4 linked regions of the Saccharomyces cerevisiae S288C genome follow. The gene in region 1 interacts genetically with each later gene. Each region holds a gene or a part of one and is shown in the gene's direction. Other genes may lie near its edges. The genes, in order: ICS2, ANK1, RRG9 and VHT1.

Region 1 (8,330 bases):
GCACACTACTTTGAAGAAAACTTTGATCTGTTTTTAAAGACAAATCTGGTCTTACTAACTCCACTTTGCTTGAGCCGGGATTGTAACTACTTTGATGAAGATGACCTCCATACTTCCTTACAATATCTTTGAAAGGCTTCTCCATTTTAAGAGATGTGAAAGATGGACTAGGTGACATTTTTTTCAGCGGTCTAGTACACGGAGATTCAAGTGACTGGATATCTCTACCTCTTTTGAAGGAGCCATTGCTGCTTACGCGTTCTAGTTTCATTTAATGGGTACTTTACTAACAGAAAAGGAAAATGATAAATTATCAAACGAAGGGAATTATTAGTTCTAAGTGAAAGGAATGGATGGATATTAAACCAAAAAGGGATATTAAACCAAATTCAAAGAATAAAAGGAAAAGACAGGTATAAGTTCTAGAAGAAATAAACAGAGAAAAAAATGATATGATAAATAAGTTATTTTTGTACAGTTAACACATATAGTTTTAAAACTTTTTGAACGTTTTTGTTAGTTCCCTTGGGCCTTAATTCCGTACTTTAAAGTGTGAAGAGTATAGTCTATAGGACCCTTATAAAGAAGGGTTGCTATATATATATATATCCACAACTATACTCCCTTTCTTTCGTATATCTGAAGGTATCCTACTACTTGAAACAAACTTGAAGAATGGTTACTGAACAAAGGACAAGCATAAACACTCCAAGGCAAGGCGATACAAAAAACACCAGCAGGAATAAGATGATTGATGAGACATCCTAAGTCCAATAGAAGAAACAAGCGAGAAATAGCGGAACCAGGAAACCGAAGTTGAAGGAAATTCTTTCTTTCAATTAAGCTTTTTGTTACCATTTAGGAAACTTCCACGGTGTCATAATTGTGTTTTGTTTGTTTACTTCTGCAAGTTAATGAAAATCCTGGCGGACGACAGCCAGTAATGGCCGGAGAGTGCTTTATTTTGCCCAGCAAAAAAATTTTGCGAGTGTAACAAAGAGCGCGAGAGCAGACTACCACTAAGAAAAGCTTCGGGCAATGCGCAGCAAAAAATAGAAAAAAATGAGCAAAAAAGAGAAACATATTTTAACATGGTCTCCGTGCCTTCGGCGTACCCAGACAATTACGGTTAACACCCACAACGTCAAACAAGATAATATGTTCCACGCTTCGGACTAGAAAGTGACATATCACATGTATGGTAGTATCGTAGGTATAACATCCTTCCGCCATCAAACCCTTGTGGCCTATGAGTGCCTATGCAGGTAATTGCTCCAATAAAGATTAAGCAATTTTTTATCCCATAATTAATTGTCGCCAACCCAACCGAACCAATCCTTTACAATTTTTCACCTTACGCCATAACAAAAATGAGACAACCCCGCCACCTACTACTGATGCAATTATTAACACGTTTTCATCCGTTTATATTTCTCTCCGGCCGTTCAGCACCGGCTTGACCAGCCGGTGCTGAGGACAAGAAAAACACAGCGAAAAAAGGTGGGAGAACGAAGCTTCCGCAATTCTCACACACCAAAAAATGAGTTACCGGCCGTCTCTTCTTTTGCCCCTCGCATATAATGGGATTGCGAACGGAGAACGACAGCAATATAACAAGCGTACGTGATCCCTTTCATTCTGTTATATTCGAGAATAGTTGTTGACAGTGGAGATAACTCCGAAAATATCATGAAAAAGAGGGTTATTTCCGTTCGTCGGGACATTGCTGTAGAGCTCTTCAATGGCCACAACTTGGGAGCGTTAATATGCAATCAAGTTGTAGGGAAGATTATATCTCTCCAGGGATTATTACCTGGGACACAGAGCTCTTTTCCTTATCTCATCTCACGCATCTAGACCCTGCTAGCCGTCGTTTCTTATTTGAAGCGTTAATCACCCTCACTTTTCGTCCGTAGCACGTAAAAAAGAAAAATAGGGTACCGTTTACCTGTCGTTAATATGCAAGTCATTAACAATCCAGCCCAGTACTTTATTTGCTATGGCACGGCATAGGCGCAGGGAGTTCACGATTTGGTCATCAATGATTATCACGATATGGGGGTCCTTATGATCTTGATGTTCTTTCAACTGCTCTTTGTTTCTTTTTTTTTTGTACGACAGTTTATGTGTTAAAGAACACATCCACTCCAATTTTGGGTCGTTTATACTTTTGTTTCGCTAATCTTAAGCCAACCTTGAGTTTATACCTAATTATATGCCACGTTAATGCACAAAACCCCTCGTAATAAACTTTCCTTGGAAGACTTTCTTTTTCTATTCGACGCATTTGGTTACATATCTGTTGGGAAAGAGCCCTTCGACTGCAAGTCCGGCATCAAGAAAGCTTGACATCCAAAGAAGCATTTAAGTATAAATAAATGAGACCCATTCTATCTTCTCAAATAAATCTTTTACAAATATGTGAACGTCAAAGCGCATACTTAATAAAAATTTATACTCTACACCACCTTCGTTATTACTTCACTGAAGTTTCCCTTTCCAGCAAGATATGGGCAAATTTGAGCAAAAAGAAAGAGAAAGAATAAGCACATTTAGTTTTCCTACTACGGGCAGTCAATCTAGTACATCCATTAAATCACTTGGCAGCCCACTCTATGGACGTTTCAGCTCTCTCTCTTCAACAGAATCTCAGTTCGATAGCAGCAAACAACCCCATGAGTACGAAAAGAGCTTTTATTTTGAAGAGTCTCAAGGCGAAGCTCTGTTCAACAAGCTGAAGACCTACTCTTTCCCTGGAGACAAGGATGGTGTGAAAACGAGGAGAAATTCCTCCATATGTCCAAGAAAGCCTAATGCGGTATCACCTTTAAGGGTAGAAAGTAATGAATTATCATCACATTCGCATTCACGTTCATTATCACACGAACTTACAAAGCCTTCAGGGCGAAGGAAAAGTTACCACAGAAAAAGTCATGCAATCTCATTCAGCAGGTCTTGTAAGCCAAATTTCATTGACGGGTACGATTCTAATTCAAGCATAGGCGTCAATTCAAGAAAAACTTCATTGGCAAGTTCTTTCTTGGACAAAGAATATCATTCTTCACCGGATACTTCATATACCCACCAAATGTCCCCGAAAAACACAATCATGAATACCAATGAACAATTAAGAAGAAACGCAAGCGGTAGATTCGGGAGTTTGAAAGAATTCGCTGAAAAAAATCAGATAAATATTGAGGGCAAAATTTTTGCTCATAAAGTGGAAACTGGAGACATATTGCAACCACTAATTGACTTAGATATTGACAATAAATGACTGGATCATTTGTCTCGCATTTTTTTTTTTCGTTTGTTTTGATAAATAAAGGACTTAATGTTAGTTTTGATAATGTTAAATGAATATATAAAAATAAACCATGTAAAGAGTATTTTGTTACGCTGTTTCGTTATAGCGTTATGTCAGTGTTATTATTTCTTATACGCGGAAAAGCCTGATCCATTCTGTTCTGAAACCGATCTTCATATTTTAAATTTCGCGAATTAACTAAAAAAAGAAAACAAACAAAAACTCGTTTCAAGTATTGCCAATGATACAAACAAAACGTTTCAAAGTATCTCCTCAACTGACGGACTTTGAAAGAGCCCGAAGATTTAAACAATGGACTGGGCAATCAAAGCAGCTAGGAAGAAAACTCAAAGGAAGCCAGGCTCTACCCGTTCAATCATAGAAACCCTCGATGATCTAAATAATCTAACAACAGATGCACATTCAGAAATAAATCAACGATTGTACGAAAGTAGTGAATGGTTAAGAAATAATGTTTATATGAATACACTCAAGTATGAAGACAAAAAGATGGAAGAGTCTTTAATTAGCCCCGAAAATACGCATAACAAAATGGATGTCGAATTTCCTAAAATGAAAGGAGAATATGAACTTTCTAACTCCCAGAATGATGCCGCAAAAGACGTTACTAAGACACCCAGAAATGGATTACATAACGATAAAAGTATCACGCCTAAATCACTCCGCAGGAAGGAAGTCACCGAAGGAATGAATAGATTTAGTATACATGATACCAATAAAAGCCCGGTTGAGCCATTGAATAGCGTTAAAGTCGACGCCAATGAAAGCGAAAAATCCTCACCATGGTCACCTTACAAAGTTGAAAAGGTTCTAAGAGAATCCTCCAAGACTTCGGAGTCTCCGATTAATACAAAACGCTTCGATAATCAAACATGGGCGGCTAAGGAAGAAATGGAGAATGAACCTATACTTCAAGCTTTAAAGAAAGCTGAATCAGTAAAGGTGAAACCACCACCGAATTCTGGGATAGCGAGATCTCAAAGAAGGTCGAATATGTTTGTTCCACTGCCGAATAAAGATCCTCTTATTATTCAACACATTCCACCAACAAAATCTTCAGGATCAATACCAAAAGTACGAACAGTAAAGGAATCACCAATCGCATTTAAAAAAAAATCTACGATAAATAGTCCTGCTATAAGAGCTGTGGAAAACAGTGATACCGCGGGATCTACAAAAGCATCCAGTGTTTTCGATAGGCTATCATCTATTCCAACAAAATCATTTGAAAACAAAATTTCCCGTGGAAACGTTGGTCACAAATACTCCTCTTCATCAATCGATTTAACAGGCTCCCCCATGAAAAAAGTTTCTCAAAAGTTTAAGTCAATAAACTCCACGGATACTGATATGCAAGAAGCGTTAAGAGATATATTCTCAGTAAAAAATAAAATAACCAAAAATAATTCACCCAAAGGAAAAAACTCTCGAAAATCCTCTATTCCGAGGTTTGATAAGACTTCTTTGAAGCTAACGACACACAAAAAGCTAGCAATCATTGCAGAACAGAAAAAGAAGTCCAAACACTCTAGTGATGTTCATAAAACTGGTTCAAGACCGCACAGTATTTCTCCAACAAAAATAAGTGTCGATTCAAGCTCGCCATCTAAAGAAGTTAAAAATTATTACCAAAGCCCTGTAAGAGGTTATTTGAGACCAACAAAAGCGTCTATTTCGCCTAATAAAAATAAAAATTTAACAACGTCGCAAACGCCACATCGTTTGAAAATTAAAGAGAAAACATTAAGAAAACTTTCTCCGAATATTGCTGACATCTCCAAGCCAGAGTCTCGTAAATCCAAAAATTATCGGCTTACAAACCTTCAATTACTTCCACCAGCAGAGGCAGAACGAGATGACTTAAAAAAAAAGTTTGATAAAAGGTTATCAGGAATTATGAGGTCTCAACAGGAACATCATCGGCGTAAACAAGAGAAACAAAAAAGGATGTCGCATTTGGAACAAGATCTAAAAAAGCAAACAAGCTTTAGTAATGACTACAAGGACATACGTCTAAAAGAATCTTTGGCTCCTTTCGATAATCATGTGCGAGATACCATCAACAAAAATACTGCATTTAGTACCGACAATATATTGGCCACAATAAATACAGTTGACCATCGAGAAATAATCGGAAATGTGACCCCAAAGATAGCCTCTGTCAATGATTCTTTACCAGAGATAAATACTGATTCTGAAGATGAGGCTAGCGTAACTTTAGCGGCATGGGCTAAATCCCCGTATTTGCAAGAGCAATTGATAAGACAGCAAGATATAAATCCACAAACTATCTTTGGACCAATTCCGCCTTTGCACACCGATGAAATTTTCCCAAATCCTAGGCTAAACAGGTTGAAACCGCGTCAAATTGTGCCCAAAAGGTCTTGAATTCGATTACCCCAGAAAAGAAAAATTCAAACTGGTTAACATTAAATCAAGTACACTTTAAATACTCTGGTATTCCCCCTGCATTACGTATATCGTTCACTTTCTTTACTTTTCCTTCTTGCTTTGTTATTTCTATCTACAACTTTGCGTTACATATTTTTAACTATTTGACACTTCACACAGATCTTCTTTCTAAGGCTTTTTGCTTATCCCACTTGGAAATCCACCCTTCACTTTCTACCTTTGGCACAATATATATTTTCAAAGCGTTATCGAACAATGGTACATCTGGCGACTCTTTCTTCAAGATATCGTGAAATGTCAGTTTCTTACCAGCTTTAATCAAACCACCTGCCTTTGTTTCCATGAACACCAACACTTTCTTTGGTGTGAAGTTTTCCTTACCTTCTTTTTTGAAGCGTTCTTGCGGCCCTTCCAAAACTAGGTCAACAAGTTCTTGCACAGTAGTTAACTCACTTACTTCACCTACAAAATCAAATTCATCTTGCGTGGGGTACATAATTAATGCGGGATAGATCAATTGAGATTCAAAATCCATTGGGTCTTCTAGCCTTATTTTACCCTCATTAAGTAACTCTACTGGAGAGTGAGTTTTGATGTTAGTTATGTTTCTCAGCGTCATTGCGCTCTCTAACATAATTTTCTTGTTTTCACGTTCCTGAGCTTCTCTTTGCTGTTTTTCTTCTTTTGCTTTCAATTCTTGTTCTTTTCTATCAATCACTGATAACATATTCAAAATTGATTTGTTCTCTGGGTCAATCCTTTGATTGGCAAATGTTGCGGCTGATTTGGCCTCCTCCAACTTGTTTAATTGGAAAAAAGCCTTGCTTGTACGATAGTAGCACTTAACATTCTTGGGGTTAATAGTTAGAGCTTTACTGCAGTCCTCGATACACCTCCTGTAATTTTTCAGCTCTAACTCACATGCCGCTCTATTGGCATATAGTGACTCATTTATTGATTTATCTTCGCATTCTACAGCCAAGCCCTTTGAGTAAAGTTCCCTTGCATCCTTGAATCTTTTTGCTTTGTATAGTTCGTTACCTTGCTTCTTGAAATTTTCAGCGATTTCGTGTGGTTCGCCTTCATAAGCTAATGCCTTTAAAGCTTCTAACTCCACGTTTTCACCACCTGCACCGTCTGTTTCATCCAACTTGGTCATGAAAAAAGGCATTCTGTTCATTTCTTTCAAGATTTCATCCGATGTTTTATCTTTAAATTCGGATAGTTGGGGTGGAAGTTCAGGATCACCTGGCCCTGGCACATATTTTTGTGGTTTGGTATATCCTCCATTTGCGTTAACGGAGCTCATTCTAGATGCAAAACCAATTTATTCTTTTCTTTTACTTGCTAGAATGTAGTGCTCAAGACCTCACTTTTAATTCAATGCTGCTTTTGAATTTAAGCTCATCGCTCTGAAAAGTGCCGGAAATTACACATATTCTTTTTTTCTTTCTTTTTTTTCCACCTTTTTCCTCACTGCGTTAAGAAAGAGATGAGGTGAAGTTATTTTGTTCTGTGTACTATAATCACACATTACACAGTTTTCTGTGAAACTGTACAAGGTGCCTAAACAGAGATACGAACGCATACGCTTTTAGTATTTAAGTCTTTAAGCTCATTATCCGCACAAGTAAACTTGAGAACACAGACTCTCTACATATAAAGTGCCAGATATCTTGGTAATGCTCGGTAGGTGGATTAACGTACTCTTATCATCAACCGAGACTAGAAACCGTATCAATAATTTATTTTATATAGAGCAGAGCATCTGATCGCTAGTTAATATGCAAGCATTTAAAATTAAAGTGGCAATGTATTGTTGTTGTCCTCTATTCGACTCCTAACGGAGGCCTTTTTTTAGCAATGGCTGACCGCGGAAGGAAAAATTTTTCTTTTCTCTTGAAAAATTTTCAATCATATATATTATTCAAAACGACGCAATTCGGTGAGGAAGATTACAAACGTTGCTAACAAGGGTCAACAGATCACGAGCCAATTTGAATTCAAATTAAATTAGTAGGGGATTTACAAAATTTGTGCGCAGGTGGATATTACTAATAAGCTAAGACAATGGACCAAGAAAATGAAAGAAACATCTCAAGATTATGGAGAGCATTCAGAACAGTAAAAGAAATGGTTAAGGACAGGGGTTATTTTATCACTCAAGAGGAAGTCGAATTGCCATTGGAAGATTTCAAGGCCAAGTATTGTGACTCCATGGGCAGACCACAACGTAAAATGATGTCCTTCCAGGCAAATCCAACAGAAGAATCTATATCAAAGTTCCCAGACATGGGCTCCTTATGGGTAGAATTTTGTGATGAGCCTTCCGTTGGTGTAAAGACAATGAAGACTTTTGTTATACATATTCAAGAAAAAAATTTCCAAACAGGTATCTTTGTTTACCAAAATAATATTACACCAAGTGCAATGAAATTGGTGCCTTCTATACCACCAGCCACCATTGAAACTTTTAATGAAGCTGCCTTAGTGGTTAATATTACTCACCACGAATTGGTTCCAAAGCATATCAGATTGAGTAGTGATGAGAAAAGAGAGCTTTTAAAAAGGTATAGATTGAAGGAATCCC
Region 2 (4,301 bases), on another chromosome or scaffold:
GCTTCCAAAATTCTTCCTATTAACGGTTGGATTTCCTTTGAAAACCTTGTGAATATGGCAACTACCAATGGACCGACGTTCATAGCGGCTGAATCCGATACCTCCAAAGACAGCAGCCTTTCTAGAACCTTCATGATATCCATTAACCTTGGCTCCATGGCTCGTGTATCTGTGTTGAAAATCAGGTAGCTGAATGCCTCCGTGGCTAACTGTAGGGTCTCATCTTCAGTAGAGAACGCTAATACTTTTGCTAATGGTTCAAATAGGTATTGATTTATTTCATCTGGTAAAAATCCATCGTTGGGTTTTTTCTTCAAAAAAACTGTGATGAATTCCAAGACTAATGATAGCAGGGGTGAGTATCTATAATTGTTTGCATTGTTGGAATCTAGCACATTAATAAATGATGGGAGACATAATTCAATGTAATTTTTGTAATTATCCATATTGATATTATCCAATAGTTTCTCCAAGCATTCTTGACTTTGTACAACGACCTGTACATTTGCTGGATCCTCGGATGAGATCGTGAACACAAGATGAAATTCAGCCTGTAAAATTTCCTTTCTTGAATGAGGTTCTTTCGGATTGTAGCTAATGACTTGACTTAATACTTCCATTAAAGCCCCATTAGTGTCCTCTTCGGCATCACTACTAACCTGGTTGATTATTCGAATTACTTTTTCCTGGGTTTCTGAGCAGACCTCTGGTCCAAGGACTGAATCTAGTTCGGCAAAATAACAATAGTACGTAAATGCTATTAATGTTGCGGATTTAATGAGCTCTTTATCAGATTTTAGCGCCAAATTAAGACTTTTTGCCAAGAATGCAGATGTCAAGGGTTTGATATCAGGTAATGCATCTATAAATTTGTCTAGTACTCTGGGAATAGTCAAAATTGCACGCGCCAATATTAATTCTGGTATTTCTTGTGATACTAAGATATTTTCTAACGTTTTTATTAAAATTTGCAAAGATTGATCGATATTTTCACCAGTTATCTCATCATCATTAAGCAAAATACACTGTAAGAGATATAGTAAAGATTCTAAAGTTGAATAATTACACGTGCTGTGTTCTATATCGTTGGAAACAACTTTGAAAATTAGGGAAAGTTGAGGATTGGGTAATGAAGTAAAAAATTCATTGGCTTGATCTCTAACATTATATGATGCTGCTAGGCCTGTTTCCTTCGATACAAATGTATTGAAATCGCTTGTCCATATCTCTCTTGTCTCAGAACTTAGCTGACAAAGAATGGTTAAAGATGTTATAATTTTGTTCATCTCTTCAACACTAAATTGCAAAGTGCAAACACTAGTCAAAAATTCTACAATATAAATAGAACAATCATGAACTGTTTCTAAAAGGGGTTCACTTTCAGTAGTTTCGACATTTGCATTTATATGGGTAACGTTTTCCAGATCTTGGATTGCCATTATTTTGAACTGTTTTTGTAATTCACTTGAGAAATGCTTTCTAGAGAAATCATTTTTAATAAAAACCAAATTCTCGTATATAATGGATTTAAATTTCAACTGAGAAATAACATCTACGTTTCCAAAATTCAAAGTCAACAATTGTCCCAATATCTGTAAAGAAGTAGCTAAACATTGGGAGACAAAACTTTTTCGTGACGCCTCATCATACTCATTATGGGAGCTCATTTGTAGAAGACATGCTTTAAGTAGCTTCAAAGCAGCAATTTTGGCTATCAAAGTAGAAGTTTCTGTATTGAGTACTTTGAAAACGATCTCCATTGTCGCCAAGCCAATTCCGCCTTCAAAGAACATTTCTTCAGATACGACATCATCGTAAATTTCATTCAATAAAGACATCGCATTTAATGAATGCTGATGAGAGATAGCATCATAAATAACTGTTAAAAGCTGCGGCCATTGATCAGGAAAATCAACCGCAGATATCTGAACAATACAGTAAGATGCACCATTTTTTATTTTGGTATTTTCATTGTCATTTAAGCATAATTTCAGTAGCACTTCTCGGATAAAATCTTTAACATCTATTTCGACGTTCGATGTAGAACGGTATGATTCAAATCCTGGACTCCAATACATGGTGATCAATTTTCTTAACGACAATAAAGCAAACTGTCTCGATTCTAGAGAAGCTTCGTGCTGTAAGGCAACGTTTGCCAGCGCTTTAAACACTTGAGATGCATCGGAATCACACCACTGTAACAATTGCGTTTCCGCAACTTCTCTAGTGTGTTTATCAGCTGATTGAGCACCTATTATCAATTCATTAATATCCATTTTAATGTGTTGATAGTGTTACAATTACGTTCAAGATTTTCGGATCGTGTATGCAGGTCATATACATCCATATGTATCTTTTTTTTTTTTTCCTAGTATACCCAAGGTATAACGCGTTGATAGAAAGGTTGACAATAAATTCATTATATAGGGGTCCTGTGAGGTAGTTTCTGAATCCCAGTGAAAAAAGTCATAAGTGAAAGAAGTCGAAGTTTTTCACAAAATAAATTAGTTTCTTTTTTTGATCATGAATACTGAAGGTGCTTCTTTAAGTGAACAATTGCTGGATGCAGCTAGAAGAAACAATCTGGATCTTTTGGAGACCGTATTTGATAGCTTAGATAATGATCCTGAGAAGATTGCAAAGCTAATTAACGAATCCAAAGAACCACTGGGGAATACAGCGTTACATTTATGTTGTAAGTATGGATCCTGGGAAGTTCTCGACAAGATTCTCGATCAAGACGGTGAAATCGAAATAGACCCACAAAACGACGTTGATGGCGACACTCCGTTACATGTTACTGTCAGATACAGTCAAGAGGAGCCTGAGCATGGAACTTTTATTGCTAGAAACTTAATTGAAGTGGGTGCGGATCCTAGGGTGAGAAACTATAACAATCAAAAGCCAGTTGATTTGGTTCATGGTGATGAACTGGATGAATTAATTGACCTTTTGCAGGGTGCCGAGTTAGCGATTGATAGTACCAATGGATCAGGTGATAACAATGAGGATGGGGAAATGATAGATGATGGTCCATCTGACGATGACGAAGAAGATGATAAAAAATGATAAAATATGTGATGATAATACCACAGAGAGGGAAAGATAGATGAACTCTGGATATATAGATATTTCTACTGTGTATATATTTCTTTAAGGTGCACTAACAAAAAAGTGTGCATATACGCATATTCAACAATATATATATATATTACTTCACATCATCCGTTCTGGTGGGTATCCAACCATCGGGAGATAAAATGTTCTTTATTGCGATAATTAACTGGCTTCTCTTTTTTTGACGAGATTTAAATTCCAAATAGCTTATTCCTTCATACTCTGGTCTTATTTTTTTGAATAGTTCCCATTGTGCAAACCGGCTTACTTGCGATTGACAGTGTTTCCTCAGTGGTTTCGATGATTTGGTATAAAATCCATTCCTCACGCCATTAAGAATCGCTTCTTCGGTGCTAAAGTCATCCATAAAGAGCTTGACACTACACATTAGACCAGGAACATCCTCCTCATCCAATTTATCATCATAAAATGGTTTGAGGCAATTCAGGAATTTAATTTCATTATCTAGATTCGGTAGACGAGTGTGAAATGATTGCTCTAGATGATGTTTCGTTTCATCTTCTAAATTAGGAATCACAATGTACTTTAAAAATACAGGTTTTTCAAAGAGTTCATAATTTAAACAATTCAGTACCGACGACCGTTGTTTCATTAATAATTTATCAGAACAGGATTTAGATAAAGTGATATTGGAATCATATCTTCCTGGTTTAGTCCTAACGACATTTCTTCTATTGAAATTCAAGCGTCCCCTCAATATTGTTTTCACACTACGGTCGACGTATTGAAATTCGTCGCTATCTTCTATTTTGATGAAATCATCATTTTTGCAATTATCATTCAGGAAACTCATGCTGGCATCACCACAGGGCAATCTCGAGATGTACAATGCCAACTCCCAGTTTTCCTTTAAATTGAATCTGGCAGGTATCTCGTCATTATGTTGAATGAATTTATCACCACTTGATGGATTATAGTTTTGAATACGGTTTAATAAAACTGTATTAGCACCTCGTAATGCCAGTATTTCTGCATGACAGTCATGCAGAATCTTCCCCTCACTTCTTTGTAGTTCTGAATCTGGCAAAGCCTTCACACCAGTAGCTATGGAAAGTATCTCTATCTTATTCGCACCGCCATCTCTGTTAATAGCTGCAACACCTGCCAATATTGTCCACTCTCTGATACCTGAAGGCCTAATTATTGGTCTGCAGGCAGATTTT
Region 3 (5,790 bases), on another chromosome or scaffold:
AGTAATTAATGCAGACTCTATACTGGTGACGGCTAATGCAATTGAGTATAAGTCACCCGAAATTAGTATTGTTTGTTGAACAGATTCAGGGTGGTTCCTTTCATGTGCAGTCATTTTATCACTAATAGGTATTATTTTTATGCTGGCGCCTGATTTTTCCCTCAAGCTTTCAATTCTCGTTCCTTTAGCTCCAATGAGGAAAGTGATTTGTGTTTTGTTCAGTTTTATTTCTAGAGTGACTATGAAATCGTGCCGTTGCGGCCCATTTGTCTGTACTTTATTAGTGCTCTTTTGCAGTTCTGCCACTGTTGAGTTTTGAGGTAAAATTTCTTGGTTTGTCAGAAAAATTTCCTCAACTGTAAAACATAGTACAGAAGCCTTAGTTTTGATTTTTTTGAACAATTGAGAAAAGTCTTCTTGGAGAATACGTAGGCGGTTATCGTGATATGTGTAAAAAGTATTATTAAAAACCCTCAAGTCCTCCCTTGAAACAAACCTGGGCAAACATATTTCCAATATATTGTCGGTAAATACCAGATTGAGGAGATCCACCTCCAACAGGCACAAAATATATATAGTGTCATAGTTTGGTCTAATGACTCCTTTTATCTTGTCAAGGTGGACGCAAAACTCTAGTAAATTCTTTCTGAAGAAAGAATAATCAAGAGCGAGCTTCAAATATAATGCTTTTTCCGGGAATATGTTTTTATTGTTGAATTGCTTTCCCTCCTGGAGCTCTTCTAATAGTTTCACCAATTTGGTGTCCAAACAAAATGGCTGAGGGCTGTGTTGGTTACTCATTGTTTTGGTATGCACTAGCTGATTAAAACTCTCGGTCTTATTTTATTAGTAGCTGTGACGCGTAATCAAATTAACCCAAGTTCATTACTTATATTAACACTGTCGGCGGCTAAAATGCGATCGTCCCGTTTAGCGGATAGAACTACAAAACCAGATATATATTCTGCATCTGCAACTTTCAAAGTTTACCGTTTTCTCAATACTCTACTTGCTAGTGAAATGGCGGTAGTGATAGGCAACCTGTATCCACTTTGTAAAAGGTATTTCACTATATCTGTCGCCAAGAGCAATCTACAGTACGATTCCTAAATCGGCAGATCATCCTATATTTAGATCGTAGATAATATTACTCAGATAAGATTGCTGATGAAACTTTACTATATTGAGTTTTCTAAATGTTTCCTTACGAAGTTCTTGATATAGTCACCGTGATGAAACAATTTGTATTTAGTTGGTGTGACCTCAAATTTTTACGGTTTTTTGAAAAGAACCCGTTATGAAATTAAGAAAAACAGTAATTCAAAAATGTGAAGAAATTAGGAAACAAAATATCTTAAAAAGATTGAACGAACACTCTGTTACCAACAAGAATATGTTTATCACATCAGTTTAAGCATGCCTCCAAGAAGTATAGAAGAATGGTTTTACTACAAGTTACTGAGTAGTCCAGGTTTCCATAGATTTGTACGCAAGGTATATAGGAAAGTAAATGGTATTAAAGAAGATCCTTTCACTGACCAATCAACTGCTTTTCAATATCTTTATAAGCCAACTCCACGACAGAAATTTAAGGCTTTAAGGCTTTTATTTTGGGATGAAATGAGATCTACTTTTGGGTTCAGAAGGAGACTAGGAGACCGCTTTAAAAAAGATTAATTCATCCTTGTCTGATGTACAAGTACTATAAAACAGACAAAAGTACCTTTTGACTGCATTTCACACTAAAATCTCTTTTTAAAACGAAAAAAACGCATGCAATTTAAATAATATTACTACGTACTATTTGGCATTTCTATTTAACACCATTATATATATTCAAAACTATATATTACACAACTTCCGGAAGGGAAACAACTATATAATACACTCGGAATACAACTTTAAAACCTTGAAAATAAGAATTAGCCATAAAAATCTTGGAGGGAAGCACTTGGCATCAAGACTCCTTTGCTTGGCTGTTTAAAGGATTTCACTTTCGATAGAGAGACATCGTCTTTCAAGGCAACGATAACCTTTTTGTCTGAACCAAATTCAAAATTATCAGCAACAACATCAGCATTGTACCTACGGATTCTGTAAGGATAATTATTACTACCATCTTGATTTAAAATGCCCTTTAATGACCAAGAAATCGCATAAGGACCCGTCGATGTAACAATAGTTTGTTCTTGCTGGCCTATACCGGTATTAAAATAAGCCTTCGTAAATCGGATTGGTTTTTTTGTGTACGTTAAGATTGATGCCGAATGTTCTGGTCGTATTTTTAATACATATGTTTTAACATTTTCACTGGCTGGGAACGACTTCAGAAATCCAATGTTGCCAGCATTTTTTCCATCCTTAATTTTCAAATCCATAAGAAGCAGAGTACTCTCGCAAGTCGCCAATAACCATTTACCGTCAGCAGAGGTAGTAATAAACTTGATTGCTTGGCCTAGTGAAGGTATAGCAGTTTTTGCCCTAATACCGAGCCTATCATATAGTTTTATGTCACCTTTTTCTGACCCAATAGCAATATAACCACTCTCTGTTGTTCCAATAGAGCTAAAGTTATATTTACCCACGTAATCTTTTGATTCATCGACGGCTATTTTATTTTTTCCGTTAATTCTAGGATCAATTTTAAAGACACCTTTCTGTGAAACGCCAACAATTGTTTGTTCAGGCGTCATTTGATCGAATTTTTTGGTTGGACCATATTGAACAACATTCTTGTCACCAGTAGACCATTCTTCAATCACCTTTCCTCTTTCTATATCCATCTTATAAAGTTTGTTCTCATTTTCGCCATCAGTCAAAATTAAATTACGATCTTCCATATACAACATTGGCTTATGAGGATCAATGCTTTTACCACCTAAATTAGAAATATTCTTTATGGCAGCTACAAATTCTAGAGAATCGTCTTCATCATCCGTTTTGAACACACCAATTCTGTTATCTCTTGTAACATATGACCTGTTGTTCCTAAAGGCGACAGTCAATGAACTATTACCTTTGGAAGTCGCACGCCTAGGTTCTTCAAAGGCTTCAGATGAAATGATTCTTTTGGAGTGATCGTTTTCGTCATCCTCATCTTCGCTATCATTTTCACTTTCGCTTGATTCTTTATCTCTTTCCTCATTTGATCTGTCATCTATGTGTAAAATGTCATCAAATTGCTTTTCCAATGGCACGGATGATGAATCTAAAATATAATCTTTCTCCTTTTCAGGAACGTCGGTCCACGTTTCTTTGTTCAAAGTCATCCATAAACATTTAACCCAAGCAAACCTGAATTGAATACACTTATCTAAGTCCTTAAATTTTAACATATAAGACAATGTAATGTTTTGTAGCGTATAGTTGAAAAGAAAGGCATCGGTAGCTAATTCAAAGGTAGGATTGATATTTGGGGCGACCTGAGTCCCAAGACGATTATCTTTACCTTCTATCGCTAGCCAAAATTCGTACTTGCCTGTATCAATAATTGCTACCTTTACCACGGGCTCCTGCAGAATAAATTTTTCTTGAATTGGATCATACATGTATAGGCTAGACATCACTAAACAACAATATTCCCCTTCTGGAACTTTTTTCAATGGAGAAGGAGTTCTTTCCAATATTTCACTTTCCTTCTCGTGCTCAAAAGAGGTGTCTTTAGCATCTTGAAAGTCATCTGAGCTTGAATCTAACTCGTCATCATCATCTTGAACAAAGAGCCTGGTTGATCTATGCTCTATTTCCTTTAAGTCATCTGCTGAGGCAGTGAGAGAGGATTTTTTATTCCTTACTTCGAATTGGCATCGGTAAACAGTTTGGATAAACTGTTCAACATCAGAAAACGACACATCAGCGGCAACAACAAATTGAACCTTTTCATCTTGTTCATCACCTCTTAAGTTCTCCCACACAAGCGCCACGTTTCCTTGTTTATCCCATGTTTTGTGAAACATGATTTTATCCGATATTTCAACGCTCCACTCCTCTTCTTTCTTTTTAGACTGTGTGGATAAAACACTGATGGTGTCGTCTTCAAAATTCTCAGCCTCATCTCCCGTGCCTCCTTCACTATCGTCCTCTACCCTATAAACCGCCAACTCATAATCAAATTTGCCTATTTTACGTACGCTTAAAGTTGCATTGTTGTAAATACATTCTAAAGCAGCTTTAGGGGAATTCTTAGACCTCAAAAGATTAAACTGCCCAGAAGGTATCGTGATGAGCTCTGGCTTGTTACCAGACTCCATAAACTTCTTCAAAATGTTCATCAGTCACTATAACTACTGCAGATATTATTGGACTGGATACGTAAAGAAAGAATGAAGTTTGTTTCTACTAATCAAGTTCGAATGAAGTGCTTGACTACTTTGCTTTCAGTGCTGTCCTTAAGGGACATTACTAAGTAAAAGTGATTAGTAAAAATAACAACATTCCCACAGTCGTCTAAAATGATCATAAAGCTAGTAAATATGAAATGATGGTAGAACTAAAACACCAATCACCAATGGTGTAGAAAGTCTCCAAGGAGAGTCGATCGTATACTGTTCATATCACGGTAAGCTATTTAACAAGGCACTACGTATTCCCTTCGACTTCCTTCTGAATCATTTGGTTAGCACTTGGCATGAACATTCTGCGAATAGCATGTCGTTCTTTTCATTGCCTGCGCTGCGGTCCATTACTCAATGAGAACAGGGGATGGTCATCCAAAAAGATTATTAAATTAGTCAATAAATCGAGTTTGTCCAATAAAGAGTTTACAGAAAAAGTACGAGATGGTACGAAAGACATTCCTGAGTGGAAGAAGCAGAAAATGGCAGTTAGAAAAAAATTGCAAGGCCAGAGGTGGAACCCACCAAAAAAGATATCACAGGAACAAATGGAGGCTCTAAGACTATTGAAATTCAACTTTCCTGAACTGACAGCATCTGATCTTGCAGACCGGTTCAAAATTTCTCCCGAGGCTGTTCGAAGAATTTTGAAGTCCAACTGGAAGCGTACTGATGAGGAAAACAATAACACCTACGAGAGATGGAAAAGAAGAGGAGAACGGATAAAAGAAATGTATCAAAGAAAAGAGGATGCCGATTTTGTATCCAATCAAATTGTTACTAGCAGAAAGATTATACTTGGGTCCAACTCAAATTCACCTGAATTAATAGCAAGGAATGTTCGCACTTTTAAACCTTTCAAGCCTAACAACAGTACACCTGAAAAGAAAAACACCAACAAACTATACATTTTGAAGCATTTGGGCTCGAAACAATAACACTTTTGAGGGATTTATATATTATTACGAAACTTCTTGTAGATAAAGGAACATATATATGTACATTAGAATAGAGAGCATGCAGTAATATCGTTAGTGGAACCGTTTCTGCACTTTCACTTGCAAAAATTGGTATGTGTCTTCTTAGGTACTATGAAAAATAACGGTATTGTTCGCCACTGATCAGACGGATGCGTTACGTGCACTAGAGCGTTTTAAATTCAATGCTATTATTTTTGATTGTTACCTTGGCACTTGGCCATTCACAAACCAACCTTTGATTTCTCGGATTCCCTGTATAATATTTCTTGATTTATTTGAGAAAGCTCGGGACCTATCTGTTAACTCAACCTGGTCAGTCACCATCTTAATTTGAAAGACAAAATCGTCTATACTTTCAGATGGTTGGCCTGAGGATCTGTTAAAATACTGTAATTCTTGTTTCATATTTTGCAGTTGATAAATCATTTCAGCCCAATGGCTATTATCTTCTCGTATTATATTGTCGTCTGAAGTTT
Region 4 (9,587 bases), on another chromosome or scaffold:
GGTTCAGTAATATGATAGACAGACTGCACTTCAAGGGTGCGCCCCCTCCCCCGCGCATATGCTTACAACGCAAAATAATTGACGTTTAATGTGGATACTTATCGTAATCGCTGCATTATAGATTTCGAGTCATGTTCACTTAACCCCACATATTTATATAGAACGCATCTTCAAAGTACTTATAAAGTTTAGTTTTACATTTTTCTGCTTTCTATTTCTTCTTTTTCGGTTCTTCTTCATGCCAGTTGGCATGGCTTAAGAGCTTTACTTGTCGCTTTTATTTAAAACCTTCTCTCGGGAGAAGACAATTGTTGATATACAGTAATTGTATTTGCATTATCACTGCTATGGCTGCGGGTCAAAAAAAATATATATGTTCCTTTTGTTTGAAGCCTTTCTCGAGATCCGAGCACAAGATAAGGCATGAAAGGTCTCATGCGGGCGTGAAGCCTTTCCAGTGCCAAGTCTGTAAACACTCTTTTGTTAGACGCGATCTCTTACAGCGACACATCAGGACTGTCCACAGAACCTTCCTCTTATCCAGTTACGCGTCAATGACAGGCGATAAGGCTGATATCCCTGTATCACTTGGCGTTGGTGACGTTGATTCGACTTCACCCAGAGATATCAAAATGGAAACACTCGTTAATTCGATGATTAAGGTCAACAGCGGCCTTATCAATATTCACTATCATAGTAGTAATGTTGAAAAAATGGATAAGCAGCAACGTTGTGTGATTGGGAAGGAGTCCTCTAGTTTAAAGAAAGGGAAAAGCCGCTTTAAGCAGGTTAAAAGCCGGTTGGAGTCCTCCATCAGTGTAAAAATTTTGCAAGAATATTCATTAGATTTTATTAGCTCAAGAGATATTCTAACTTTCTTCAGAATGGGTGTAAGCCACTTGGTAGAAAATAAGATCTTCCAAAATTTCTTTCCAGACCTGTTCTCATCACTACAAAATGACGAGCTGGTGGAAAGTTTTTGGATTAACAAGCCTTTTGGTCTCATAATAGCTTGTCTGGGTATGTCCATTTCGTTAAATCAAGATTCTCAAAAACTATGGTTTATCTGTTGTACGAATTTGTATGCTAGCTCATCTAAACATGACAATGACTTTGACACTGAGGACATTTTGTCACAGACAGAGCAACATGATGTTTTTGCCTTGATTCTATTTTATTCTCTTCTAGTAATGTTGGAGAATAACATTCCTGTTTCTAATTCCATTAAAAAGTTCGATGTGTTTTCAATGCTTCAAGATATTCTGAAGCCATTCACCGTGGCATCCTCCAGTTACCATTATTTGAATAGTAAGGAAAATGCATGGTTCATATTCGATCTATGGGTCAATATCTTGCGCGATTCAAACAACTTCAACAACGATTCTTTACTAATATTTGGTTGGTTCGTCAATCAAGAGTTTATTTCGTCTAATCCACTTAAGGACTTCATATACAAGGGACCGTCAATGTCCACTACTGACTTAACTTTAAAGCATATCAATATTTTGGCAGATTCCGCGTACGTGTATTTTATAATAAAGAAGACTTATCCGCAAGAGCTGCCATCTGATTTTAGAGTGCATGATTTGCTGGTTTACTTGAATGAATGTTTCGTAATGCAGCAGCCGATCAAACCTGAAACTAGTGCAAACCCCTCTTTATTTGCGAACGTTATGAACGCCAGGATTACGGACTGCAAATCGAAAAGTAACTGGTTATTGTGGGAAACGATTTGGTTCGAATTCATCAACAACTTGACTTTGAGAAATGGGACCACAAGGAACATATGGTTCATTGATAACTTTCCACAGGTATCGACCTCGTGCTTACTTCATCATTCTTCCTCATTTGTTGATGAAACCTTGATCACCACGAACTTATCAATCATATCAATGCTTCTTAATTTGAAGTCTTTCACGCTGGCATCTTTAAACCCAAGGAATATTCAGTTAATTACCGACATTGTCAGCTTCCAACTAAAATTGTTTTCATCGGAGTTAATTGCAAGCTCGGATGTTTCACCATCACAAGTATCTCAATTACTAGTAAACCCCAATGTTCACCTAATGTTATATTTCTGGTTCGATACCATTTATGTACAACGTCAGAGCTACCTTTCATCAACAGAGAAAGAGGAATTTGAGAAGGTTGAAGTGTTTGTGAATGACTACATTATAACACACCAAAAGAACTTGGTGACAGACTTACACTCCATTTTGTTCGATTTTTGGTCAGATTCCTTCATTGCTTACCATATACTACTGCATGCTATTGTATCTTCATTAAGAGATAATATTCTTTACCCATACTTAATCTACTCCCCTCACCTGAATGACCAGACGAAAGCATTGTTGACTGATATCTCTAATTGGTCTTGTTTTGCTCTTCAACAGCCGTTTCGCAAGACTTCAAGAGGTTCTTTATCTGGTGCTTCTGATATGAAATCGTTTTCAGTAGCATCATGTTTGCCACTCTCTCCTAATTTCCTAAAGAGAGATTCAAACTGTAATAAGATTCTCCTGCCCCCATTAGATATAAAAGCCATTGAACCTATCTCAACGAGTAATTACACCTACGTGAACTCGGCCCCTAAGCAACAAGAGAAGGAACAACCATTGTTAAGGGCAACAGGAAACAATATCAATTTAGTCCAAACAATAGTGGTCCCACCCCAGGTAAACATGGAATCACAAGAATTCTCAGCTTCTTCAACTGACAATAAACAAAGTAAAAACATTGAAATTTTTAGCCAAATAAAATAATGGCCAAAGAAATGTTGTTAACAACACTAATAACATTAAAGTTTAATACAACCACAAACGATATACATAAATCTACATAATAATTTTAATACTTCCCACAAGTTTGCCTAAAAGTAAATACCATTTTTTGTGTGCTTATTCCGCTGCGATGGTTACTACTACATGTAAGAGGTGCTCAGTAAAAGGAAGTACAAAACGTCTTTCGCGTTTACCTGTGCTCCATGCGCCTTAATCAATACTCTCAAGGCCTTCTTAACCTTGGCGTTTTCTTAAGTGTTCTGTTCACATTCGATAACAAAATTTAGAATGTCTTTTCACCCCTCTTTTTTCTGGTAATGGTTCGAATGTATGCGGTACCTTTTTTTAACAATAGTCTTCAGGGCACCCTTAAAAATGCTTCGATGAACCATTACAGAAAAAGAAAGTAGGGAAAAATGATGTAATTGTATATGTTGTTTAGTTTAATATTTGATAAAAACATATAAAAAGGGCAATCATGATGGCCATCGACGAGTTATCTTTATCCTTTCGTATTGTGTTATGAGACTTTTCATTTAAAATATACTGTAGGTATGACATCACTGAATATCATGGGAAGAAAGTTTATTCTAGAAAGGGCCAAAAGAAATGACAACATTGAAGAAATATATACTTCGGCCTATGTCTCTCTACCCTCCTCAACTGATACACGTTTGCCTCACTTCAAAGCAAAAGAAGAGGACTGTGATGTTTACGAGGAAGGGACCAATTTAGTGGGTAAGAATGCTAAATATACCTACAGATCCCTTGGTAGACATTTAGATTTTTTGAGGCCAGGATTGAGATTTGGCGGTTCGCAATCGTCAAAGTACACGTATTATACGGTGGAAGTGAAGATTGATACCGTAAACTTGCCACTTTACAAGGATTCGCGTTCTTTGGACCCGCATGTCACAGGTACTTTCACTATTAAAAATTTAACACCAGTCCTAGATAAAGTTGTTACCCTTTTTGAAGGGTATGTCATCAATTATAACCAATTCCCGTTATGTTCACTGCATTGGCCCGCTGAGGAGACGCTCGACCCTTATATGGCTCAGAGAGAAAGTGATTGCTCTCATTGGAAGAGGTTTGGTCATTTTGGTTCTGATAACTGGTCGTTAACGGAAAGAAATTTTGGTCAGTATAATCATGAAAGTGCAGAATTTATGAATCAACGATATATTTATCTTAAATGGAAGGAAAGGTTCCTACTTGATGATGAGGAACAAGAAAATCTGATGTTGGACGATAATCATCATCTGGAAGGCGCGTCATTTGAGGGATTTTACTATGTGTGTTTAGACCAGCTAACAGGTTCAGTGGAAGGCTACTACTATCATCCCGCTTGTGAATTGTTTCAAAAACTCGAACTCGTTCCAACCAACTGCGACGCATTGAACACCTACTCAAGTGGATTTGAAATTGCCTAAAGACCCTTATAGAATTACCAATGTATGTTTGTTTACTCGTCAACCATGTCTCTTTTAAAAGCACATTGTTCTTGATATTACATCAATAAGTAAACTAGTAACCCTTTACATATATCCACGTCATGTATGCCCTTTTTGTAGTTCGAAATAAAAACATTTCTATCATTAGTGCCGGTTAATAATTAGTTGGCGATATCCTTGCAATAAAATAAAAATACTTGAATTGATGATTCGTTTACAGAGGCTCAAGAACACTCAGGAAAACATTATTGCTTTAAATTGACATAGTGTTCTTATGGTAGAAGCTTTCTTAATCACCAGCAAAAAATATTTGGTAAGTAAAACGTTAGCGAGGATATGCTGCAACCATCATTGCTGAACAAGTTATTGGCAACCTACTTATGCGGAGGACTAATGATTACTCAACGTTCTTCTTGAGACGAATGATTACAACCTTACAACCAAGATATAAAAACTTTAGTTTAAGCCCAACTTTATTACAATATCCTTAGACGGCAGCTGGCTCGTGGGATTTTTTCAAGTGTTAGTCCGGTTCTGCAACTACTGCTGAATTCGGCTGCATTGAAAAGCTCAAATTAAAATCATCGTCAATTATTCTCATTACTTCAATCTTTGCTAGTACGCCTTTCACATGGCCTGTCGATCCTATGCTCCTACAACTAAAATGTCCTTTACTAACATGATTGCCTCCATTGCTACAATTGCGTCAGCTAAGATACTGCCGTAGTCTACTAGAAAATCATCATTAGTTCACCCGAAATGGCTCTGAGATTATGAATCACTTTAGGATGATTTACACAGAAAGCGCCGTACCGCCTCCGAGACTCTTTCACCCAACTGTGAAAGGAAAAAAAAATGTGTGAAATGAAAAAAAAAGTCGAAATATGAGATGCAAGGCTAAGTTTGATGATAGCCATTCCCAAAAATCTGCATGACTCTTACGGCTATAACATAACTATATATAAAGGCTCTACACCCACGAGCAATCGCCTTTTCATTTGTTTCAATTTTCAAAAAAGGACCGACACAAATCAATAGATAATGACAATTTCGAATAAATCGTGGAGGAGCTACTTCCCACATTTGAGAAAACTACCCGAAGATGATCAGTACTTATACTCAGACGATACTAACTCCAGTATCATAGCTGAAGAGGAGCTACATCATAGCGTAGATAAGTCCTCGAAGACAGACGTTACGGCAGAAACTACAGCTGTAGAACCTCATCCTCACAATTTAAGGCATGACTTGCCATATGAAGTGAGAGATGAAGCTGGGCGTAAATGGTGGAAATATTTTGATGAATTCGAGTATCGTGTTAATAAGGAATACAAGAAATCACGTAAGTGGTACGAGTTTTTGTATCCTAATCATACTACTCAAACCAAGGCTGAAAGACGGCTTCTTTACAAGCTAGACATTATTATTGCTTTATACTTTTTTATGTTATGTTGGTCCAAGTCAGTGGATTTGAATAACTACACTAACGCATATGTTTCCAATATGAAGGAAGATTTAAACATGAAAGGTAATGATTACGTTTACACTTCTACTATTGCTAATGTTGGTGCCATTGTCTTCCAATTACCATTTATGTATTTGTTACCAAGATTTCCCTCTCATATTATTTTGCCTGTAATGGACTTGGGCTGGACTTGGTTCACATTTGCATGTTATAGGGCAAACTCACTAGCCGAACTAAGGGCTTACAGATTTATTTTAAGTGCCTTTGGCGCTGCTTACTACCCAGTGTCCCAATATATACTAGGTTGTTGGTATGCCCCAGATGAAATTAATTCAAGAGTCTGTTTATTCTTTTGTGGGCAACAATTGGGTTCCGTGACTTCAGGACTTCTGCAAAGTCGCATATTCAAAAGTTTGAACGGCGTCCATGGTCTAGCAGGCTGGAGATGGATGTTTCTGATCGATGCCATTGCAATTTCTCTTCCCACGGCTATTATTGGTTTTTTTGTTATTCCCGGTGTACCATCTAAGTGTTACTCTTTATTTCTGACTGACGAAGAAATACGAATTGCAAGGGCCAGAAATAAGAGGAACCAAATCAAAGATGGTGTTGATAAAAGTAAGCTAGCCCCATTATGGAGCAGAAAACTTTGGAAGAAAGTATTTTGTACTCCAGCATTCTGGGTACTTGTTGTTTTTGATACATGTTCGTGGAATAACATGACTGCGTATAGTGGTTCATATACTTTGTGGTTAAAGTCTAATACAAAGTACTCCATTGCCCAAGTGAACAACCTGAGTGTTATACCCGCATGTTTAGGATTTGCGTATGTGATTTTTTGTGCCTTTGGTGCCGATTTATTTAGATGTAAGTGGATATTCATGGTTTTTGCTGCTATAATGAATACCGTTTCTTGTGCCTTACTTATCAAGTGGGATATTCCTTCGAAAGCTAAATGGTACGCTTTCTTCACCACGTATTTCAGTGTGGCCGCATCGCCTTGTCTATGGTCGTTTATTAATGACTTCTTAAGGTTTGATCCTCAGGTGAAGGCTATTACATGGATCGCCATTTATTCCTTCTCTCAATCCACTTACGCCTGGATTCCTACCTTGGCGTGGCCTACCGTGGAGTCACCACGTTTTAAGACTGGTTACACCGTGAGCTTAATTTTTGGTGCTATTTACGGTTTATGGACGTTTGTTGTACTTTTTTTTTACAAGAGAAACGAAAAGAAACATGCTCTAGGTAATGGTATCATCTTGTATGATAGTAATAAGGGTGAAGAGCTTCCAGAATTTGTAAAGAAAAATATGGAGGAAAGAGATGGTTACTACTATTTAAAGCGGTCCTCGTAGTCCAATTTACGTGAAGTAGATAGGTATATTACGCTTTAGACACCATACCTCAAATAAATATATTCATGTATATAATTTAATCATCTTCTATCTATAATTAATCTCGATGTTGATAAAGGTCACCTTATACGTTCTATGAGTGAAATCGAGTGAAAAAGTGAAATTTAAGAAAGGGCTCGAAGGATGTACTGTGTAATAATTACACCTGGCCACATTCAGTTTGGCAAAAGCGAACGAGGTACAGTGTAAGAGATGTCTAGTGAAAGAGCCTGTATGCTGTGTGGCATAGTGCAGACCACAAATGAGTTTAATAGAGATGGTTGTCCCAACTGTCAGGGTATTTTTGAAGAGGCAGGTGTTTCTACAATGGAATGTACGTCGCCTTCTTTCGAGGGCCTCGTAGGAATGTGTAAGCCTACTAAGTCGTGGGTAGCAAAGTGGCTGAGCGTAGATCATAGTATAGCTGGTATGTACGCCATCAAGGTCGATGGTAGACTACCAGCTGAGGTTGTGGAGCTGTTGCCTCACTACAAACCGAGGGATGGCAGTCAAGTTGAGTAAAACCTTCCGTTCTGATATCACATGTATAATAGTAATGAATTTTTTTTACTTTTTTTTTTTTTTAGTAAATATTCTAGCATATGAGTTTATGCTTTCATTTATTTAACGTTCTGCACTTTTGTTTTTGCTGGCAAACCCAATTTTTCTACCGTCCAGTAATTCAACTAAGGCTAAAAAGACTTTCATTAGAAAAAAAAGGTCCAAGGATAGGAAAATTTCAAGATAAAGTATGGCATTATGTTAAAGAGGTTAGCCAATCGTCAAAATGGTTTTGCGTCATTCTCGTGCAGCTCAGTCGGTCTGCGATATGGTAGGACTAATCCAAGTACAAAGAGAAGCTTTTCACTTTTTCAAAGTGTAGCGGACACGTTTTTAACAGTGCATGAAGCCTCACATATACCATGGATAGTGCTTGTTCCTTTGACTACTATGACCCTTAGAACCCTCGTGACGCTGCCATTCAGTATATGGCAGCGGAGGAGAATTTTGAAACAACAAGAACTGAGGAAATTAGTACAGCCAATAACGCCCATTATTAAACTTCGACTGGCAGCCGTTACTAATAAAAAGTCTAGAAATGCCGCCAGAATTAGCTCCAACGGTTCTTTCATGCCGTTACAACTACAGAATGCTGGCGTTTTGACACCAGAACAAATTACACTATTGGCAGTGAAAGAGACAAGAAAGAGGCAGAAAAAATTATTCAAGAAGTACAATGTACCCCTATGGAAAAATGCCTTACTGCCAATGGTGCAAATTCCTCTTTGGGTCACAGTCTCCATGGGCATCAGGACCCTAACAGAGACACAGCTTATAGAAAGTTTTTATCCTTCCTGGTTTTCCGCACTGGGTTTCAGTTCCTTTGATCTAAGCTCACCGCTAGTAGCAATGCCTCTACTAGCGCCCATTTTGGTGGGGACTCTGGCGGTATTAAACGTGGAACTCAATGGCCGACTGATGTTTAGCTCAAGTTTGTCATCGCAAGGTATAAAGACAATTTCAAGGAATTCGACAAGAGTCCAAGAGGCAATGACTAGTATACTGAACGTATCGAGACTCGGTTGTGTCGTTATGCTAGCAATGTCCTCACAGGCTCCATTCCTTCTTTCGCTCTATTGGATATCATCACAGCTATTCTCCCTGGTGCAAAATATCATATTAAATTGGATTTATCCTTACCAACGATGAGTGAAGCTGACGCATAGATAGGATATGTAATTCTACATCAGCTTGTAAATAAACAAAAATGACTTTCAATATCCTTCAACCGTTCCTGACTCTTTCCTGCTGACCCGTTTTTCCAAATTTCTCGTCGAACTTGAAATTGAAAAAAAAAAAAAAAAATTGAATGAGGACTCATTAAACAGATGATGCCGTAATAAATGCAATATATCTTGCTATTTAACTCTTTCTTTCTTTGAAAACCTTGACATACGTATTTAAATAATTGGCTGTCCCTGCCTCGAAGTATATTTCTCTTCTACTTTTATCTTAGCGATATCCCTAAGAGTTTAATCCTCCCAGGTCCATAACAAAAGAAGTCAAGTTCAATGACTGATTATATTTTGCCGGGTCCCAAGGCCTTATCTCAGTTCAGAGTCGATAATCTAATTAAAGATATAAACTCCTATACAAACAGTACTTCTGTCATCAATGAATTGCGTTCGTGTTACATTCACTATGTCAACGGCATCGCTCAAAATTTGTCTGAACAGGACACTAAATTGCTAGAAGTTTTGTTGACTTACGATTCTGCTTTAGATATTGCTAACGATCCATTAGCAAGACAATTAAACGATGCTGTCGCTAATAATTTACCCAGTTCAGCTCTTGGCGAAGACACATATTTGATTAGAGTTGTTCCTAGATCAGGCACTATCTCTCCTTGGTCTTCCAAGGCTACTAATATTGCTCATGTATGCGGGCTACAAGACAAAGTTCAACGTATTGAAAGAGGTTTAGCCTTACT

The links.
Region 2: mutations in ICS2 (region 1) and ANK1 together harm fitness more than expected from each alone (negative genetic interaction), as found in Saccharomyces cerevisiae (one large-scale study listed by BioGRID).
Region 3: mutations in ICS2 (region 1) and RRG9 together harm fitness more than expected from each alone (negative genetic interaction), as found in Saccharomyces cerevisiae (one large-scale study listed by BioGRID).
Region 4: mutations in ICS2 (region 1) and VHT1 together harm fitness more than expected from each alone (negative genetic interaction), as found in Saccharomyces cerevisiae (one large-scale study listed by BioGRID).

The regions. Positions count from the first base shown.
Region 1 is NC_001134.8:548,490-556,819, reverse strand, and holds ICS2 (Ics2p), read left to right. Parts: upstream 1-2,509; coding exon 2,510-3,277; downstream 3,278-8,330. Other genes in the region: AMN1 (Amn1p), read right to left, coding at 1-271; SLI15 (Sli15p), read left to right, coding at 3,620-5,716; HSP70/90 family co-chaperone CNS1, read right to left, coding at 5,892-7,049; DNA-directed RNA polymerase core subunit RPB5, read left to right, coding at 7,811-8,330.
Region 2 is NC_001139.9:43,420-47,720, reverse strand, and holds ANK1 (ankyrin repeat-containing protein ANK1), read left to right. Parts: upstream 1-2,523; coding exon 2,524-3,069; downstream 3,070-4,301. Other genes in the region: karyopherin KAP114, read right to left, coding at 1-2,276; TAD1 (tRNA-specific adenosine deaminase), read right to left, coding at 3,212-4,301.
Region 3 is NC_001146.8:245,942-251,731, reverse strand, and holds RRG9 (mitochondrial ribosome assembly protein RRG9), read left to right. Parts: upstream 1-4,627; coding exon 4,628-5,272; downstream 5,273-5,790. Other genes in the region: MER1 (Mer1p), read right to left, coding at 1-801; MRX7 (Mrx7p), read left to right, coding at 1,417-1,677; VID27 (Vid27p), read right to left, coding at 1,923-4,271; PEX17 (Pex17p), read right to left, coding at 5,516-5,790. UniProt on the Saccharomyces cerevisiae protein: Required for respiratory activity and maintenance and expression of the mitochondrial genome.
Region 4 is NC_001139.9:615,547-625,133, reverse strand, and holds VHT1 (Vht1p), read left to right. Parts: upstream 1-5,275; coding exon 5,276-7,057; downstream 7,058-9,587. Other genes in the region: YGR067C (uncharacterized protein), read left to right, coding at 348-2,762; GID10 (Gid10p), read left to right, coding at 3,335-4,213; transcription elongation factor SPT4, read left to right, coding at 7,310-7,618; membrane insertase COX18, read left to right, coding at 7,856-8,806; ADE6 (phosphoribosylformylglycinamidine synthase), read left to right, coding at 9,169-9,587. UniProt on the Saccharomyces cerevisiae protein: Involved in uptake of biotin with the concomitant entry of protons.